Oryzias latipes: one gene and its partner. The protein of the gene in region 1 interacts with the protein of each later gene in a biochemical or structural test. Links are inferred from orthologs where the notes say so. Each region holds a gene or a part of one and is shown in the gene's direction. Other genes may lie near its edges.

Evidence for each region. The genes of interacting proteins can lie anywhere in the genome.
Region 2: the proteins of map3k2 (region 1) and smyd3 are reported together in a solved structure, tested with the Homo sapiens proteins (2 studies listed by BioGRID and IntAct, with this or other methods). The link is inferred for Oryzias latipes from reciprocal best matches to the Homo sapiens genes MAP3K2 and SMYD3.

Annotation. Positions count from the first base shown.
Region 1 is NC_019860.2:9,906,757-9,916,814, forward strand, and holds the end of map3k2 (mitogen-activated protein kinase kinase kinase 2), read left to right. Parts: intron 1-5; 5' UTR 6-23; coding exon 24-78; intron 79-261; coding exon 262-380; intron 381-465; coding exon 466-506; intron 507-581; coding exon 582-681; intron 682-767; coding exon 768-881; intron 882-1,689; coding exon 1,690-1,798; intron 1,799-2,159; coding exon 2,160-2,290; intron 2,291-2,646; coding exon 2,647-2,726; intron 2,727-2,811; coding exon 2,812-2,876; intron 2,877-2,981; coding exon 2,982-3,074; intron 3,075-3,156; coding exon 3,157-3,393; intron 3,394-3,457; coding exon 3,458-3,606; intron 3,607-3,691; coding exon 3,692-3,823; intron 3,824-3,900; coding exon 3,901-4,030; intron 4,031-4,098; coding exon 4,099-4,276; intron 4,277-4,355; coding exon 4,356-4,575; 3' UTR 4,576-6,589; downstream 6,590-10,058. Other genes in the region: THAP domain-containing protein 1 A, read right to left, coding at 8,631-8,718, 9,148-9,298, 9,375-9,579, 9,653-9,772. UniProt on the Homo sapiens protein: Component of a protein kinase signal transduction cascade. Regulates the JNK and ERK5 pathways by phosphorylating and activating MAP2K5 and MAP2K7. Plays a role in caveolae kiss-and-run dynamics.
Region 2 is NC_019861.2:24,808,566-24,818,659, forward strand, and holds part of smyd3 (histone-lysine N-methyltransferase SMYD3), read left to right. Parts: intron 1-3,081; coding exon 3,082-3,149; intron 3,150-5,855; coding exon 5,856-5,958; intron 5,959-6,474; coding exon 6,475-6,585; intron 6,586-7,632; coding exon 7,633-7,720; intron 7,721-7,973; coding exon 7,974-8,148; intron 8,149-10,094. UniProt on the Homo sapiens protein: Histone methyltransferase. Specifically methylates 'Lys-4' of histone H3, inducing di- and tri-methylation, but not monomethylation. Also methylates 'Lys-5' of histone H4.

The DNA of each region.
Region 1 (10,058 bases):
TGCAGGAGGAAGGAATCCCTTTGATGGGAGAGTCCTCTTTCCTGGCCTCCTGGGTCAGCCGCCGTGCCATGATGATGGGTATGTATGCACTTTGTTGGCAGCGGGCTGTCGAGATCCTTTAGCCACTGTGTTTTGTTTTTTCAATTCCAGGTTTTGGCTTGTGACCTTTAGAAGCAGAGAGCATTCACCTCCGGCTGTCTGTTTGTTCCACTGTTCCCCCCACCATCTTTGATGGTAATTGGAGGTTCTGTCGTCCCACAGATGAGCAGGAGGCCCTGAACTCGATCATGCAGGACTTGGCCGAACTGCACCGCTCCAGCCGCCCCGCCACATTCCTGTCGGAGTTGGGAAAACCCAAAACTTCTTCACCCAAGAACCAGGTGAGCGCCGGACCCCTCTGAGGTGGTTTTTTTCTGAACTTTTACTGAAGTTAGGAGTTGCTGAGTTTCATTCCATTCTCCTCAGAACGATGTGAGGGTGAAGTTTGAATTCAGAGGGGAGAAGAGGTGAGACCCTTCCTTTTTGGTCCAAACATGGTCCGAACGGCACAGCCACCTCCTGACCTCTCGTCTCCTCCGCAGGATCCTGCAGTTTCCTCGACCCGTCAAGCTGGACGACCTGAAGGCGAAGGCAAAAGTGGCCTTCGGTCAGGCGATGGGCCTCCATTACTCTAACAACGAGGTACAGATCCGGAGGCCGAAGCGCAGAGGTGGCCCGGAGCAATCGCAGCGCCACACCCACGCCGTCTTTGCTCTTCCCTCCCACAGTTACTGATCCCGCTGGTGACCCAGGATGACCTGGACAAGGCCGTGGAGCTGCTGGATCGCAGCGTCCACATGAAGAGCCTGAAGATCCTCCTAGTAGTCCAGATGTCCTCGCAGGTCTGTTTGCTCCTTCTAGCAAGGGAGCAACTATTTTGAAAAAAAAACCTAGATGACGTACAATGAAAGAGACATTTTGATGTATGATAAGATTCTCACACTTAATGAAAAAGTTCCCAGAACAATAATGACTCATTAACTGTAAATGTGTGCCTTAATATCCACCACATCCTCATGTCCTTCGCTATCAAAGCTCAGACTGATGCCATAATCCCCTCATGATAACCTAAATAGTTTTTTGACTGTTGGAAGCACTCGCAGGTACGGAACTTGTCGAAGCAGCATTCGTGCTGAGAGCGCCTGGACGGTTTCTGTCCCCCTCCCGATGGAAGTGAGCGATGATTGGGTTGAGTTTGAAGATTTCAGCAACAAACGGTTAATTTAAAAAGAAAATGTTTCCTTAAAATAGTCAGGAAAATTCCTACCTGTGAGTATATAAAGCTGTTCATTTAGTCAGCAATATATGTTTAAGGTCGACCGAGCGTTAGCATTAGCCGTCCTATGGGGAATTCCATTATACGTTAGCATCAAGCTAGCAAATTTTGGCTTTGCTGCTGTCATGCGATTTCAACTTTTATGGATTAATTGATCAACCAACCCAGCCCTTCGTGATATGATTTCAAATGTTTATTGTGTTTCTAAATAATCCATTTTGGTAATTTTGGCATGATTGTTGTTTAAAGCCAATAAGAACATCAACATTGAGAAAGCCCAAATGCTTCCAAACATTAGCTTTAAGCCAGTCGGACCACCCAGTTTGCAGGGGGTCTTTGTTTGTCTGGCTTATCTGTTTTTGTTTTCTTTCCAGAACTCCCCCGCCTCCAACATGGACCTCCTTCCATCCCACGAGGAGCTGGATAACAGGGGCTTTGGGGTTGCGGACAAAAAGAGCATGCTGTCTCTGATTGGTCAGTCAGGTGATTTCCTTTTGTCTCCTTTATCAGCTAAAGGCGGCCAGCTTATGACCTCCAAGAAAAGTGAATGTAGATTAGAGATGGATGGATGAAAAGTCTGTGACTGTCGGATGCAGCACGGTTCCATCCCATTACTAACCCATAGAGTTCAATATGATGTTGGTCCATCTTTTGCACCTATTACAGTAGAATAATTAAATGAGTCTTAAGATAGATCCCTGGGGAACTCCTGACTGAGGTGAAGCCCCAGTTGAGTCTGAGAAACGTCAACAAGTCACAGCGAGGAGAACCGCTCCATGGAAAAATGGACGTGCAAAGCGACACAACCAATCGCCGCTCACCTGAGTTTCTCTTCCAACCGCAGGGTCCCTCTCGACCGACCGAAGCTCCCCTCCCCCAGGATACATTCCCGATCCTCTCCCACAGGTGGCACGAAACGGCTCCTTCACCAGCATCAACAGCGAGGGGGAGTTCATTCCTGAGAGTATGGATCCGGTATGGACTCTGCCTTAAACTTGGTTCTAATATTATTTCACATTTCCAACAAAAAGAAAAATGCACAACAACGTAGTGCGGAAACATTTTGGAATCCAGTTTGGATGCTATGCTCCTAATTTGTGAGGTTTTGGGAGTAAAATTATGGTTTTAGCTGTTGGAGTTAACTCAAAGTGATGTTTTGTTTTTGTTTTTTCTGTGAGGCATCAGAACGGCTGCCAGGTGCACGCATTACCCCAAAATAAATATTCATAGAACGTCTACAAGTTCAGAGTTCACCAGATGGTCGTTTGAAGTCTGAAAACTTCAAACAAATATGTCCAACTTTTTTAAGCTCTTCATTATTTTGCCTTCAGATGTTCGATCCCTTATCCATGAGCAGTCCGGAGAATTCCGCGTCAGGAAGCTGTCCGTCTTTAGACAGCCCGCTGGACGGGTGAGTGGCTCCACATTCCAGCTCAAGGCCTGGTGTGAAGCCTTAAAACCGACACACAGTAACTTTTCCTTTCGGTGTGTTGCAGGGAATACCCAAAGTCCAGGATGCCTCGAGCTCAGAGTTACCCGGACAACCACCAGGACTTCCCAGGTAAACCCTGAAACAGCTTTTGATCTCAAAGATTAAGAAAGGTTTTGTTTTGCTTTAGTCTTGGCTCCACCTCTGTGATAACTGTGCCGCTGTTTTCCCCCGCAGAGTCCGACCTTCCCGTGTTTGAGAAGTCCGGGAAAGGAGGGACGTATCCACGGAGATACGGCATTCCTTACGGCCTTCAGGATTACAGCGATGGTGGGGTGTTTTTCCTTCGCTCCTGTTCGTAACAGAGAGGAGACCGAAACGAATAATTCAGAGTATCTTGTTTGGCTTTCAGGGCGGAAGACCTTTCCGCGAGCTCGGCGGACGCAGGTCCACAACTTTCGCTCGCCCGTTAGCTTCAGTCCCACAGAGCAGTCCCCCAGCACCAGCAGCGGCAGCAGCGTCTTCACCCCCGACCTGGAGGAGGCCCCCGGCCCTGCCAGGAGGCGGAGAGGCAGCGACATCGAGTCGAACGCCAACCCCTCAGCCGGCCCCACCCTCTCCGTCATGGACATCAGCCCGCCCAGTCGCTGTAAGTGGACCGAGCGCGCCCCGCCCACCTGTAGCTCAGTGGTTAACCTGCCGTGTGCTTGCAGCTCCGCGTGCTCCCACCAACTGGCGTCTGGGGAAGCTGCTAGGTCAGGGGGCGTTTGGGCGGGTGTACCTGTGCTACGACGCAGACACTGGGCGGGAGTTGGCGGTCAAACAAGTCCAGTTTGACCCGGAGAGTCCGGAGACCAGCAAGGTGCATGGTTGTTGTTGTTTTTTTTTAGTGGAGGAGCGAGGGGTAGTATGCGTCGCAATTTCAAGCTTTTGATTGGCTCGTTCAGGAGGTGAGCGCGTTGGAGTGCGAGATCCAGCTCCTGAAGAACCTGTGCCACGAGCGGATCGTCCAGTACTACGGCTGCCTGCGGGACACCATGGAGCGGACGCTCTCCATCTTCATGGAGCACATGCCTGGAGTAAGCATCTGCCAACCCCTCCCCCAAATATCGATTTGAAGTCCTTGTCCACCCTGACCGTCAACTTCCTGTCTCAGGGTTCCATCAAAGACCAGCTGAAGTCGTACGGAGCTCTGACGGAAAACGTAACGCGCCGATACACCCGGCAAATCTTGGAGGGTGTGTCGTACCTGCACAGCAACATGATCGTGCATCGGGACATCAAAGGTGAGAAGGGGGAGGGGGGGTTGCTGGCGGGGCGCGGCAGAACTTTAGCGGGTGTCCTCTGGCTCCAGGGGCCAACATCTTGCGGGATTCCGTGGGTAACGTGAAGCTGGGAGACTTTGGCGCCAGCAGGCGGCTGCAGACCATCTGCCTGTCCGGGACAGGCATCAAGTCAGTGACCGGCACCCCCTACTGGATGAGCCCGGAGGTGATCAGCGGAGAAGGCTACGGCAGGAAGGCCGACATATGGTAAGGGCGCGCTCAGAAAGCGGCGTCCGGCACCGGCTGTAGGCGCCCATCCCCCAACAAATCTGCGCTTTGCTTTTAGGAGTGTCGGCTGTACCGTGGTGGAGATGCTAACTCAGCGGCCTCCGTGGGCGGAGTTCGAAGCCATGGCGGCCATCTTCAAAATCGCCACGCAGCCCACAAACCCGGAGCTGCCCGTGCACGTGTCGGACCACTGCCGCGAGTTCCTGAGGCGGATCTTTGTAGAGACCAAACAGCGCCCGTCTGCTGATGAGCTACTTAGGCATATCTTTGTTCATTAGCACCTTCAGTCCTTACAGAACTGCCAAACATATTGAAGCAGAAGGGGCGGGCCCCCAGGTGGCTCCGCCCCCCCTCGGATTCATGCTGAGGCTGCTATGGACAGGCGAGGGAGCGCGTGCTCCTCCGTCTCTGTACGAGACTGCAGACGGTGGTTTTATTTAGGTTTTCCTGCAACGTGCACCTTAATTTCTGAAACGTGGGGGCGAGCCCCTCCCTTCTGAAGCAGACAAACGCCCCTTTTTTTCACGTTTGTACGGTTTCTCTAAGTCGGTGTTGTGGACCTGCAGGAGGTGAAGCCCTGTCCCCACATCTCGCCGACCCGACCCAGAATGTAGTGTCCTGCCAAACCCCCAGAGAGCGCCGCCGTCGACCCCGCTGCTAAAGACGACCCCAACGCCCGCCGCTCCCCACCTCACCCTTCGTCTGACCTTCCCCGTCTTCGCCGCGTGCCTTTTTCTGTTTCAGGGCCGGTCTCGGTCGCTCAGCGTCGTTTTTGTCCTCCCGGATGATCTGCCTTCACGCCGTTTTGCCCAAAAACAAACCAGCCGGTTTCAGTTCAGCCTCACGTCCACCTATGCCTGGTTTATGCGGTTCTACAAACCTGGAAACCAAAACCTATCCCTGGTCCAACGTTGACCCCGGATTTAAGAGTTGGCTCTGACACAACACGAGAAGACGATCAGGGCTTGAAGCAGCTGAACGTCTCAAAGGTTTGCAGAAGCCCAGGGTCGCTTTGGGACATCCCACAGCCCTCCTCGTCTCCTGCTGGCCTTCCTCTTGAAGAGGTTTACAGGATCTTGCATCATGACTCCACATCGCAGCCTTTTTTACTGTTGTTTTTTGCAAACGTCCCCAACAGTCCAGAAGCAGCGCTGCAGTTTTTCTACTGTTTCTTCACCTCTTAGATGTTTCTTCTTCTCTTTGAAGGTGCAATCAGCAGATGTTAAAAGTAACGGTACAGATAAACAATCATTTGAACCCGGTACAGTCTCTGGTACGTGCTCCTTGCTGCTGTTTCCTCCGTGTCCACTAGGTGTCGATGACGAGTTGTATCCACAGATTGCCTCTTGCAGGTCGCGATGAAGTGGACTTCTGAGAGCACTTACGAGTTTTCTTTTTAAAAAAAATCTTTTGGTTTTCCAAAGCGGAAACATTCTCCGAGGCGGCCCACTGTTCCACCTCGATTCCCACAATGCACTATGGATGACTCACTGATGCTTTCTTACGGCTTCCTCACAGCTGCCGGATGCAGCTCGGTTCAGCCACCTTTTCTTTGCACATTTAAAGACTGTTTTGATTTATTTTTTTTGACGGCGTGTGTGCGTGTATGTGTGTTTTGAATGTCCAGCTAACTCTTACTGAATGTAATGTGTCATATTTACCATCAGGTGGCCTGGTTTCACCACAGTGGATTAACTCCAGTATTTGTCACCTGCAGGTACATCTGTAGTTCTCTCTGTAGCCGCTGCTGCCATTCCTGTGTGTTTGTATGTATGTGTGTGTATGCGTATGTATGTGTGTATGTTGATGTGCATTTACTGCACTTTGCTCATTGGTCACTTGAGCATTCTGATCATGGGGGGAGGCGTCAGGACTTTAAAGTTATGATTACAAAAAAGAGGAAATGATTTAAATAAAAATAAAAAATCAAATGTATCTTTTTTTTTGTTGTTTTTAAAAGAAAAGTACTCTTATATCCCACATGTTTGGTCTGTGTATTGTAAAAGAAGCCATGTTTATAATTCTAATTGGTTTGTGACCAATATGCCTGTTTATATCAGATCTGTATATCAGTGGTACGCATAATTTTTTAATATATATTTTTATTTTGCTTTTGTTTTGTAAATGGGAGATTTCATGCATGGTTGGGTCCAGAGAGACACAGCGGTGCTGTTGAACGGTTGCTATTTTTTTGGACAAATTCCTGGACCGTGGCGTCGGCTCCGGGGTCGATAATGACAGCAGTTATGAATACGATGATGAAAACAATAAAAGCTATTTATTTCACATGAACTCTTGGTTTTTACTCCCTATTTATTCAAGTGTTTGGTAGTTTGTGACAGACAATTGTATATTTTGAGCTATTATCGTTAAAGCATTACAACACAAATTTTAGATGTTGGGAACTTTATTTTGAAGGCCAAACTATTTCCAACGTTGCAGCTTTTGCACTTCCTGTTTGAGGCCAGTCTGAAATAAGACTGATTGGAGCCAAGTCACTAGGCGGCTTGTGACATATTTGCACAGGGGTTTGTTTCTTATGGACCAAACTGCAGCTAGAGCCACAAACTCCCACGTTATTGTTTACAAAAAAAGACTTAATTCGCGTTTTTGTGGCCATTACGCCATCCATTTAGAACATGTAGCTTTGAGATATAGACAATAGTATACCAATGTTATATTTTACTCTTAACAGCAGCTTATACAAGTTCCTTTCTGGTCACTCTCCCCTTGGAACGGAGGTACAGGACTGAAGTGAAGGGCCACTAGACTCAGGAACTCTTTCTTTTCCTCTGCCATCAGACTACATAACCCTTGTGCTATCTTAGATGACCCCACCCTTACATTGACGTGTTCTCCCTACCATGACAAAGGTGGATAAAGGTGGAAAGATTTCATGTAATCCATGGACACCAGTGAAAATCACAAATCATTGAAGAAAAAAGGTTCAGAGCACTGTCTAGTGGGTCTAGATGACCCAACTCCCAATGTTAAATTGCCTAGGATAGCACAAGGGTTAACAGCTGACAGGAGTCTGGAACACCTTGCACATCCTCATTGTTCATTATTGTTTATTATTACTGTTCTTGAACATTTAGAATTTGCATGACATCTTTTTATTTATTTTTTTGCAGTTTTATTTTTATTTATGTTATGTGTGAATTTTGAGTTTCCTGTACATTTCGTACTCCTATCTTTATTTTATTTTATTTAAATTAACCTTGGCATTCAGAGTAGACAGCAAAGTCAGAATTTAATTGTTTAGGAAAACCTGTTTCTTACTGTGCATACGACAATAAACCCTTTGAATCTTGAATATTTCAAAATAAAAGACACCGTTTGCCAAATAAGATCCAGATTTAATTGAATTAAAAATGCAGGAAAGTCAAAGTTAATATTTTCTATCATAACTTTAGTGCGCCTTCATCCTTATTCTCCTTTTAATATTAAATATAAGCATGACAAAATTAAGTCAAAATTCCCCTTTTAGAAAGAAATCTAAAGTAAATATAAATCCAATGATATACTTTAAGTACTTAACCTCTGGACAGCAACTATACTGTTGTGGTACAGAACTGTACTGTGTGTTTTAAGCATATTCTAATAATATTCCACCACAAAACCTAATAAACTTAACATAAAGAACTAAAACTACAAAAAAAATAATTTCTTTGGCTCCGGAGCCTCAGGTTCCAGACCCCTGTGTTAGCTTCTATTCACTTCAATGTAAAACGCCGCTTAACAACATAAAATAACTAAAATGTAGTTCTAAAGCTACTCTGCGGCTTCATTTAAATATAAAAACTTTCTTTTATTGATCTAACATTGGATTCCATCTTCCAATGGTTTTCAGGCCTCCTTTTCCAAAAACGCCCGTATTGGTTGACCTTCCTAGCTAAGATGGCAGTGGAGCTCCAAAACAGACTTTAAATGGATGTGATGCAAAGCAAAAGGTCACATGACCACATCCATCTCAGCTGAACTCTGACAAGAGTGGCATATTTATATAATAATGTTAGAGGTTGAACAGCTTTGTTAGATTTAATTTCCGGTATGTTTATTTGCCAAAAACGTCGACTAGATTGTAATTTTTGGTAAAACATTTTATTTTTGTAAAAGTGAATTTGATCATTTCGTTCAGCAGAAGTTTGCTTCATAAGTTCAGAACTGAAAAAAAAAAGATTTTTTTAAAGAAACCTCTGAAAAGTTGGTTTTGACCGCGTCCTCATCGACAGTCTTGTGGTTATGGAGAGCCGAGCGAGCGCCAGTATTCAATCAAATCGTCGCCGTCACAGAAATGTTTCGCCTGTTCTCCAATCATCTTTATGCGGGACTAGCTGGGCGAGTCGCTTTCTATCTCTTCCCCCAGCTTCAGCATCGACCCGTTAATGTCGGAGGTGTCGTCTGCCTCCGAGATCCACCTGCGCAAAAAATAAATAAAGAAATAAATCGGTCGTAAGCTTGAATTTACTGGGGGGGAAAAAAAAGAATAGAGTAACATCTCGGTAAAGACAGTAAAGCGCAATACTCTCGTTTCTGCTGTAGCTGCTAATATACGTGCATAGCTTTTATGCTAACTTCAACATCACCTATTTAGTCTTGTGGTGTCCCACAGGGCTTATTCCTAGGTCACCATACATGTTTGCAGTATGTTTGAATATCTACTTCTACTACACTTGACTTTGTCAGGAAACCTAAAGAGTGTCTTGTGTTGATTCTATTGTGTTTGCTAGTAGCTAGAAGTTCGCAAACACAATGACTGATTCTTCCCCAATTGTCTGTCATTGGTTTGATAACACCCCATCAAAAACAAAGACCTATGTCTAATCTTCTTGTAGATCTAAACGTACCTTCTCAAAGTTCTGGTTGAAGGTAAGCTAATCTTCGTCCTCAGGAATTTATAAGCTTTGGGGCTTTGCATGTGGAGTGTGAGGGCAAAGTTCTTCTGTTCCTCTGTATAACCAGACGAACCAGCCAACTGGAACAAGTCGTAGGGGAAAGCTGGGGAAAGAACGCAAACAGGACGCGTTAAAGGTCGTCAGACGAACTCGCGGGGAGCTCCAACGCCACAGTTTACCTTCAACGGTGTCGAGCTTCTGCTGGAGTCGCTCTTTCAGAAGATTGCTCTCCTTTAGCTCCTCCTTCAAAGAGGAGATGCTCTTCTTGAGGAGCATGGCGGTTCGGGTTATCGTACGCAGCTTCCGACTCAAGGTTTCCGCCCTCCGCTCGGCCTGCTGCCACTTCAGCTTGAAGTCTTCGTTGGAGCCAGCGTAGGTGTGGAACTGTCGAAAGGCAGCACGCGCAACGTCACAATGTAAGCGATGGCACTGCACAGGACTACAAACGTGACCTTACGGTGGAAAGGGACCACTGCTCGGGGGCTTGGCCTTCCTTTTCCGCTGAGAAGAGGGAAGCATTCTGGGAGGAGGCCAGGCGCTTCCCTGTGCTGTTCGCAGTTTGGACGAGTTTACTGTTCTGTGGAAGAAAAATGACAAAAACGGATGGGACTTTTTTTGTGATTCCACAATTTAATCTAGTGAATTTCAATAAGCACCATGATATTTTAACAGTTTGGTCACATCACTATGATGTTTGATAAGACATAAACCCAAAATAACATAAAGGACATTTAGAATTATGAATGACAACATTTTGAACCAGTCATGACTCTACAATGACTGTTCAAAGTGACAATTACTTGTGGAGTCCCTCAAGGTTTTGTTCTGGGACCACTACTATATTTGTTGAGAAAATGACTGCT
Region 2 (10,094 bases), on another chromosome or scaffold:
AAAATGTTAATGGATTTTATTTATTTCTTAGTTCTTTTCTGTTGTAAAGATTTGTAGAATGACCGAATGTTAAATCTCTTTGTTCCACATTTGTTTGAATTTACAAAACTATTTTTTATAAAAAATAATATTTATTAAAAAAGATCTTTTTTTTTTTGCTATTTAAAGGAATATTTATAATATCGTCAGCCTAATAGCATTTCTGCCTAACTCATTTTTTTGCCAAATTGAGATATTGGCCTAACTCTACTCTCCTTTCACTGCTGCACCACCCTGTATAACTGCCTATTTTCTCAGCCAATCAGAAGGCTTCCATCATTCAAAAAACACTATCTGCTTTAGTCATCTAATTGACTTGGGCATTTTGATGCCATATAAAAATGTGCTCAAGTCATCTCAAATTGACTTGAGCAGTTTTGGCGCTACACAACAATGGCTGCCCTATGAAGAACAAGGCTCGTCTTAGCATAAATGAAGCATTAGATCTTATCTTTGATTCATCAGGTAAGGTTATTCATTCCTTTCTGGAGCCTGGAACAGTTATTTGTGACCTGTACAAAGAATACTGTAAAGCTGTTGGTGAGAATGGAGCACGGGTTGTGAGTGAGGGGTATTTCCGCAAAGTGTTCCGTGAGTTGAAATACTCTGTGTTCATAACACGGAAAGACCAGTGTGATGTATGTGTTAGTGCCAAGGCAGTAGATCAGGATACCCTTAATGCTCATTTGAAATCAAAGGCTGAAGCTCAGGCTGAAAAAGCTAAGGATAAACAGGAATCCAGTGACAAACTCTCAGTGTGGACAATAGACCTGCATCGTGTTCTTTTGTGCCCCAAGACCCAAGCGAGCCCAATGTATTATAAAACTAAACTGCAGATACACAACTTTACTTGCTTCAACCTGGGTAAAAAAGATAGCTATTGTTACCCCTGGGAGGAGCACGAGGGCTCCCTCAGCAGCGAGGTTTTTGCCCATCTGCAGTTCAAACACTTTGAGTCAGTCTTAAGGCCTGTTCACACCGGGACGAATTTCGCGCGCGATATTCGCCGACGTTTAACGCCTCGTGACTAAACAAAGGGCACCAATGTGAGTGTGCACACCGACGCAAAAAACGCTACGCGTAAAAGCGTCATTTTTCAAAAAACGCCTTGGGTTTGTTTTTTTGGTTTGACGCGCCGCGTCAAAAACTATCTTTTGCACACTAGCTTTTGCACACGTGTCTGGAGCTTCTGAAGTTACAGTAAAACACAACTTGGGGGCACTCAAACAAAAAACTGTCTTGCTGAGCACACATACATAACGGCAAAGAAGATATACGCCAAGTAGCATCTACACTGCCACGAAGAAATAAGACGAAGAAGATGCACTCACTGACGGACATTCTAAAATATCCCCGAAAACGCTCATGATACATTTTCAGCTCATGTACCAGTCGATAAAACTCCCCATGTTCTTCTCTTCTCGTAACTATGGGATGTACATCTGCGTCTTTTCCGGCGTCTTTCATCATTCAACAGAACAATAATTTCTTCATCGCTGGAACTGGAGCTGCTGGTGCTTGAAATATTCATGTTTTCTTTGTATGATTCTGACAAACGCGTAAACTTGCTCTCTTCTTCTGAGTGAAAAGCGACTTTAAGGAGGGTAAAGTTGCGCAGCGCCACCTTGTGTACAGGGGTATTTCTGTTTTACGTTAAGCGCCATCTAATGTCAGGGAATGAATTTGCATGTTCACTCGGCTCATCGTTAGGCGAAAATCGCTTGGGTGTGAACACAAAAAACGTGGCGAAAAACGCTGGCGAATAACGTGCGCCGATATTCGTCCCGGTGTGTACGGCCCTTTAGAGGCCAACCCAAATATTAAAAAGTCATAGTCTGGAGTGATGGCTGCGGCTATCAGAATCGGTGTTGCACCATTGCAAATGCGTACCTTGATCTGGCCATGAAGCATGATGTCACAATTGTACAAAAATTTCTGGTTGCAGGGCACACACAAATGAAGTGTGACTCCATGCATAGCTGCATTGAACGCCGTATCAGGAAAGACATTTACACTCTGCGTGATTACATCATCATTTTTGAAACTGCACGTTTGAACCCATCCCCGTACAAGGTCACCCAGTTGTACCACAACAACTTCATGAAGTTATCTGGGGCCTACGTCAAAACCATCCGGCCAGGTGGAAAACCAGGTGATCCCACAGTCCATGACCTTCAGGCTTTCCAGTACTTGGCAGATGGATTCGCTATAAGTTAGCGTTTGAGTCAGACTGGGAGGGCCTGCTTCAGCGAGTGACCATCCCCAGAGAATCATTCCCCTGGGTCCCACTCTTTCCTACCCAATTGCCACTCACTCTGAGGAAATTCCAGTCAATGAAACTGGTACTACCAAGAGTGGTCCATGACTACTATAACAACCTGCCTCACCAAGGCAAATGAAACAATCTGGGTTAGGCAAGTGAAACATCGTTTCACGTTAGTTAATGTTAGGTCTTAACATTGGTTAAGGAAATAGTTAAATAACCAGGTTATGTTAAGGCAAGAAACAAGTTTGATGGTTTTTACTTTATTATAAAAACTGCCTAAGTCAAATTGAGTTCCCTGCAAAATTTGCACAAGTCAGTTTTCTATGTTATGCAATAGCTATTGTCTGTTTTTTTATTTCAAACGGGTTCACACATCTGGTGGGAGTCACCATTAACATATAAATAAAAAGTTCTTACAATTTGGTGAAAAAAAGGTGTTTTTTCTTCTTTTCCAAAAACCTGAAAAAATGAGTTAGGCAGATTTGCTATTAGGCTGACGATATAAAGAATTGTTTTTTTGTATTACAAATTTATTTTTTTGTTTCATTTTGTTTTATTTTGAAAGGTTTGTTTGTTTTTTACCCACTTTGTGATTCTTGGCATGCCATATAACATGTAAGTGCCCCTGCATGGGGTTTAACGGGTTTTCAGAAAAATTAGACAATGTTCTCTGCTGACAAAACAAGATGTTTTTAGATCTCTGAGGTAATTTAATAAACAACTACCGGTACATACTTACTCATTTGTCTTTTTTTTTTTACTCTTTCATTCTAAAGGTGACGTGTAATTGTTTCACCATCAGTGATGGGGAGCTACAGGAGATAGGAGTGGGGCTGTATCCAAGGTAACACACGCATGTTCACATTCATGCATGCACGAAAAAAACACTTAGAGGCACACATGTCTGAATACATTTTTTAAGGGGCTCATTGCTTCTGTCACTAATTTAAACATTAAAAAAGCAGCTTGGAGATACAGTACCATGGCTTTGACAGCACACTTTCAAAGCTGGCCCTGCTCTCCACGCTTTCTCCTCTCAGCTCTTTGAAGTATGACAGAAGAAGGGAAGAGAGACGAGGTGAAATGTTCTCGTAAGGCGAAAACTTGGTAATGAATGTTGCCGGAATATGAAAATGCTGCTTGGCGTAGACAGAAGCGAGAGAGCTCTGAGAAATCTCACTCCTGGAGATTCAGGATGGATATCATGAAATGTTGTCTTTTTCCACAAACTGGATAAGTAAGTTGTGTCCTGTGTGAAAGGGCGTGGATTTGGCTTTTTGTCCAACACACTGTCTGTCCTGTCACACATAGAGACACAGATATCTTAACACATACACAAACACATGCAGGTATCCCAGCCAGTTTATCTGGCGAGTATGGAGATGTCAGATGGTCACAGCAGTATTACCAAAGCTCAGCCAAACCATGCATTTGGGCTGCAATTCACCCATAAATGAAAGGCTCACTCGCAGGATGGTCCCCTGCCTATTCTTATTTTGGGTTGCCTAGCAACCATGGGTTTTTTGAATAGAGGGGGATATTTGGTTGAGGCTAAACCTCAGCTCAGTTTATGAAATGCAGTTTTTTACCTTTTAGTTAACACTCCTTTTTTTTCTTTTACTTTTGTCATCCCCTCCTCTGATATCCACTCTCTGCATGTCATTCTCCACCTCAGCTAAATGGCCTAAATGATATGGATTTGTGGATAACTGATTGGCTCAGATGTTAACAGACATTTATTCACTTTTTGTTATCATTTTTAATCTTAATTTAGCCTCACAGTAACAGAAAGTCATGAAGCTGCATCCACATCTTCACCACCTTTATAGTAATGTACTAATATACTAAAACATTTTTTTAAAGATCCACTCTGATGAAAATCGTGTTCTTGGTGTTTTTAACATGTTCTTGTGGCATTTTTCTGATGATGGAGGACATATATAAAGACAATTTCTAATTTATTTCTTTATTCAAATTGTTGTGAATCAGGAGCGAACAGAAAAAAATTCAGTTTGAAAATGCTTGTAGCTGATGTAGGTGCTGCAGTTGGCAGGTCACGAGCTCCATTCTGATGGACACACTTGCAGACACATAGATTCATGTAATCTCAATTTTCCTTATCTACAGCTCAAAACTGTACAGCCGGATTGCTCCGACATTGCTCGCCATATTTGTTGCACCGCTAATGTTGTGTTGGGGTAAGGAGGGGCTGTAAGCTAGCAGGAGAGTGTGTAACAAGTGGATGGTGGGAAATAAGCGCAGGCTTACTTCTGCCCCCAACTCAGAGTTACAGTTCTAATGAACTACTGACGCTCCGCAGGAACTATGTCCTAGAAAACAACACGTTTTCTTTTTTATTTTGGCTAAAAAAAGGCACAATCATAGTTACAAGACCACTAGGAACGCTTTTAAAATAGATCAAAAGATGATTGCAGTGGGACTTCAAGGAGAAATCAGGAACATGTTCTGTATTAGAAAGCAGGGGTGATTAGTCGTGCAGCTCCTGCACTTTAAGGATTCTTGTTCAACTCGAAAAACTGAGTTTAGAATCAAAGAGGTTAGATATTGAATATTTTTATATTTAGTAAATTTCAATTTTGTCCTAATGGCATCTTTTCATCCTGCTGCAGCAGGAGCAGCACATTTTTCTTACATTTGCCTTCAATGTGAGATGATGTTTGCTTAATTATTCTAATTAGTATGCTAACGAGCAGCTCTCTATCTGATAAAAGCTTCTTTTGGAGGACTTGATGTCTAGTTTTTATTCAACCAGCAACTCCTCCACTGTTCGTGCAAAGCCGAAAGAGGGTAGCTGGTGGTTTCATGCACACTGAACACACATACTTTATCTCATTCAATCACTATTATGCTGAATACTGTCATTGTTAGCTGCGGTAATGGAGAGAGCTGTACAAACACACAAGAACCTCTTCAGGTTTTACCGCTCATGTGTGCAGAGATGTTCTATGACTTTATGTGAGGGGGAGGTCTTTACTTGCAGTTACATTGTCAACATGGGAGTCATGGTGAACAGAATTACCATAAAGTAAATTCAGGATTTTCAACAGTGACAGTGCTCTGCTTTGTTTGTTGGGTTTGTTCCATGTCTATGTTAGATTACCACTTAGTTTAGTTAAACTAGGGGTCTGAAACATGAGGCACCGGAGTCGCATGTGGCTCTTTTGCTCCGCCATTGTGGTTCTATGGTTAAAGAAAAATAAAGGTTTTTTTTAAGTAACTGTGAAGTAAATAAGTAGGTAAGTAATAAAGTGTAAAACTGTGCCTTATGGTTCAAAAGATACAGTGAGTAGTAAGTAAATTTGATAGAAATCTATTTCCCTTTATTAATAGTACATTTGCTCAAGTTTTGCTACTGTCAACCTGCTCCATATAAATTTAATTACACCCATGTAAAAAAAAGTTTGAATATCGTAGAAAAAATAAAAGCTATCTAGATACATTTGCTTTTTTCTTTCTATCTCCTTTTTTCTCTCTTTTTGTACTTCATTTTTGTCATCCCATTCTCTGCTTCTCATTCTTTTGACTTTAGTTTATCTCTGTTGAACCACGACTGCCGGCCCAACTGCGTGATGGTCTTTAATGGGACAGAACTGCAGCTCAGAGCTGTGCAGGATATTAACCCAGGAGAGGAGGTATGGTGAAAAAAAAGTACTGCATTTTTACAGCAGTAACAACACAAATCACATCAATGGAAGCCGTTCTCATTTATTGTTTATTCGTTATTAATGGCTTTTGTCATAACTTACTTGCAAAATCTGAAAGTAACAAGCGCGGCTGCTGTCAAATAAATTTCACTGCTCAATTAATTACCACTTTTTGATGGATTCATAGTAAAATTGCTGTTTTATTAAAAACCTGCAGCCTAGTGAAATATCACAAGCAGCACATGCAAGTTGAAATCTCCTGACTTAGAGGTGGTTTTTTTTCTCTTTCTCGTGACTCTATGTAATGAGATGCATCAACGCCATCTGTACGGAGACACACCAGCACTCCCACACACGCCTAACGCAGCATAATTTCTTTCACACTCACTTAACCATAGTTCTGCTGCAAATATTTGCTCCTGCTAAAGTTGTTGTACTGCGCTGTAAGAAATGTGAATAAATGCATTCATGCCAACACTGATCTAATGATCTCTTTGTGTCCAGCTAAGGATAAGTTATATTGAGACATTGTCTTTGACTGAAGATCGGCAGAAGCAGCTGGAGGAGCAGTATCATTTCACCTGCCACTGCCAACGCTGCAGCTCAAAGGAACAGGTCAGAAGTAGTTATAGCAAGTTATCGTAAAAAAGAAAATGACAAAAACTGTACTAATACAGCTTTATGACTGAAATTTAAAAAAGTTTGTTTAATTCAGAAATAATTGTTTAAAACCAAAAGTATTGACATATTCTTTTTCTTTCACTGTGAAAAAACGTTTTTATTACTTCTCGATGCTTATTTAGTTGCTGAACCATGACAACCTCATTATCACTGCATTAATAATGTTTATATCCTTTTTATTAATTTTCATCCTCCTTGTTTTTCTGTTCCCAAATAACAAAAAGAATTGAACCGAAGCTGATACAGATTTACTTGATTCTTGCAGTCTTTATAAATTATTCTTGACAGCTGAGCAGAGTCGAGCTCTCTTCTTTTTCTTGTTGTCGCACACTTTTCAGGCGCACAAACTTGCCCCTACTTGTGTTGTGCTGTGCAGACAGCGTGTCGGTGCATAACGCGTCTCCGTGTTCCCTCTCCTGTCCTCCTCTTTCCCTCTCTTGCTCCTCTCCTCTCTGTCACTCTGTCACGCTCCACCTCTTCACATCCTCCTTCTGTTGGTCTGACCACCTACTGAAAAATGAGAAAAATTATCTCGTCTTTCAGCTGCAGTTTTCTTTTCCATCCATCTCAACCAGCTCGTCCCTCCTGCTCCCGTCTGTGCTCCAGCTTCAATGTTTTCTGTCCTCTCATCTTTTTGTCTTTGCCATCACCTCGACTTCTGGCTTTGATCTCTCTATTCTAAAGTGTAGACGACACTACTCTACAACACAGCAACTCCCCTAAAACACTGCACTGGTTGAGGGCTTTGTGTGAGTGCGAGATAAGCCAAGAGTGAGCTCTCAGGTGGTCCTCTGGAAACAAAGGCATCAATTTATTTAACCAACCTTTAATCCGCAAACACAGAAACGCACTTTGTGATACGCTTCTTTGTCTCTTTAATCTTTTTTTCAATTGATACGGATGATGTCAGGCCGCAGGACTGTGGCATAAAGTTGTCATGGCAACAGTTGACTTTTTTTTCTGTTTCACCTCTTTGTGCAGGATGGAGTCATGCTGTCAGGGAGGGAAGCAGCCTGGCGCCAGCTAAAGGAAGCCCTACCAAGGCTGGAAGGACTGCAGTTAGAGTCCAGCATCCTTTATCGCTCTTAAAGACTATAAAAAATAATTTTATCTTTGCATTTTGTTGGTGATCTTGAAAGTTTTAAATTTAGATTTAGATGTTGAAATAATTTGAAGCATTTAATCAGTAATTTTACTGACCTGAATTTGAATTTTTGGCTTAATTTTCTTAAACAAATTGTTAAAACAAAATTTAGGACTTTAGAGCATCCGCCTTCTTTATGAACACTCATTGATGTCAAATTCCTTAATTACTTCCTTAGATTGGCTGGAACTTTTAGAGAGTTGCAGCAATCTGCTTACATCTGCTGGTGAGGAAGTTCCCGATGAAAATCTCTATAAGCTCAAGATTACTGATATGGCTTTGGATGCTTCTGTTCATCTGGGGCGATGGGAGGAGGCGTTGTCATTTGGGCTCAAGACCCTTCCATCTTACAGGTTAGGCTCTCTTTGTTTGTATGTTCCTCAGAAAAGCAATTAATACTTTTATCTAACTTTTATCTTGCTCACTTCACTTCAAATATTTAGATACCAAGGTTTAATAAATATGAACTGCAGTAAAGTGAAGCAGCTTTAGTTAAGATTGGCAGTAGATTTATGATGGTTGTTTTGCTTTTTGAGCTAACTATCATGCTATGATGTCAAATATGTACCTCAAACATGGTTTATAGGAGGAAAACCCCAATGTTCCAAGTTGTTTACCCTCGAAAACCCCTAAAACCTACTGTATTTTAATTTTAGTGCAGTTCTTCTGATCTCAGCCTGGGCAGTAGAGCAGCACACATCCCCTGTCTTAACATTCACATTGTGAAATTTGTAATTGTGTCTGCTGTGCTGTGTGGTAACAGAACCTTCTTAAAATAATCAAAATGCATTAAAATTGAGTTTGTTGCTGTGAAGCACACGGTTCTTGAACAGCATTTAGATTTATCTCAATGCTTTTCTATGTATACATAAAATTGGAGATGAACATAATTAACACTGTAATGATGCCTAACAAGAGCTGGAATGAAATAGTTTTCCCTAAATTTGAAAAAACTACAACATAGCTAAGGTAATATTTTTTTTTTAGGTTTTTGCATGTGACGGAGATGGTGGCCGGCACTTAAGAAAAATAGATCAATTAAAAAATAGGCAACATGAGGTGAGGGATTTTCTTCTGGTTGCATTAGTTAGTTTTACCCAATCGTACCAACCCAGTCCTAAAATAGGCGAAACATCATCTGAAACAATAAATATAAGCTTTTGTTAGCTAATGCAAAGTACATGCTAGTGCAAATGCATATGATTACGTCAAATAGCCGTTAAACAGCATGAAGTGCTGCATCCTCTGCAGACATTCTTCCAGGACATCAGCTCACACTACAGATTACCTTCAGCATCCATGCTGGTCCAAACCCTGGAATGTTTTCCTGGCAGAGATCATAAATTACAACGGCAGCTCATAATAGAGCTATAGGTGGATGATGCCAGTGCTCAACACATCATGTATAATTGATGATGGTTTTATTTTGTCTGGGCTCCTCACTCCTCTACCATGTTGGAAAGTCTTTGTTAATAAAAAAGGGGTGGGATACGCAAACGTGTGTCTAAAAGTAGTGTATTTTAAAAATGCATGTAGAAAATAAACTCAAATTTATGAAAGATGTTTGTAGAAAATAAACAAAATAATCTAATGAGAAACCCATGTCTATAATATCTTACTGACTTAAGGCTTTAAGGGAATTCAAATAAACCCAGCACTTTTAAAGGTTGTGTCTCAGATTATGATAAATTACATCAGTTGTATCTTGTTTGCTCTGTCCAACCCCCACACACACCTCTGCTCAGTTTTTACTGCAGTACGGCTCCCTCAGCCTCAACATTATACAGCTGCTGCATGGTTTTTGTGTAAGTGTGCGCGTGAAACTAATTGATCTTGTGTAAAGGGCAAAGCTCCAGTGGCACAGCCGTACTCTCACACACACCAGCACTAACATAACCACCGGAGGGAAACGACAACACAACTTATAAATAAATAACTAGTGTTGGAGCAGCAGAAAGAACCAGAGGAATGGTGATGAGAAGGAGGGGGGATCTCTGAAAATCTCTTGTCAAGGAAGAACAGACCAAAGTGAGCGGAGGCATACTGAGAGGGTCTGCTTCTTTGAACTTAATGTCATCACTGCTGCTGGTTTTTTCTGAGCCTCACTTGCTCTTTTTAAAGAGATTAGATTAAAGTGAAGACTAAGCATCAATCTTTTAGCTGATTCTTATACAGTGAATATTCCGCTTGTAACCTTGCTGTCTTCTTCCATCTTCCTCTGAAGTATGGATTATCCTGAATAGTTTAATAACACTTTGATCTATTTTCTGAGGGGATGGCCGGTTAAACTACGGAACTG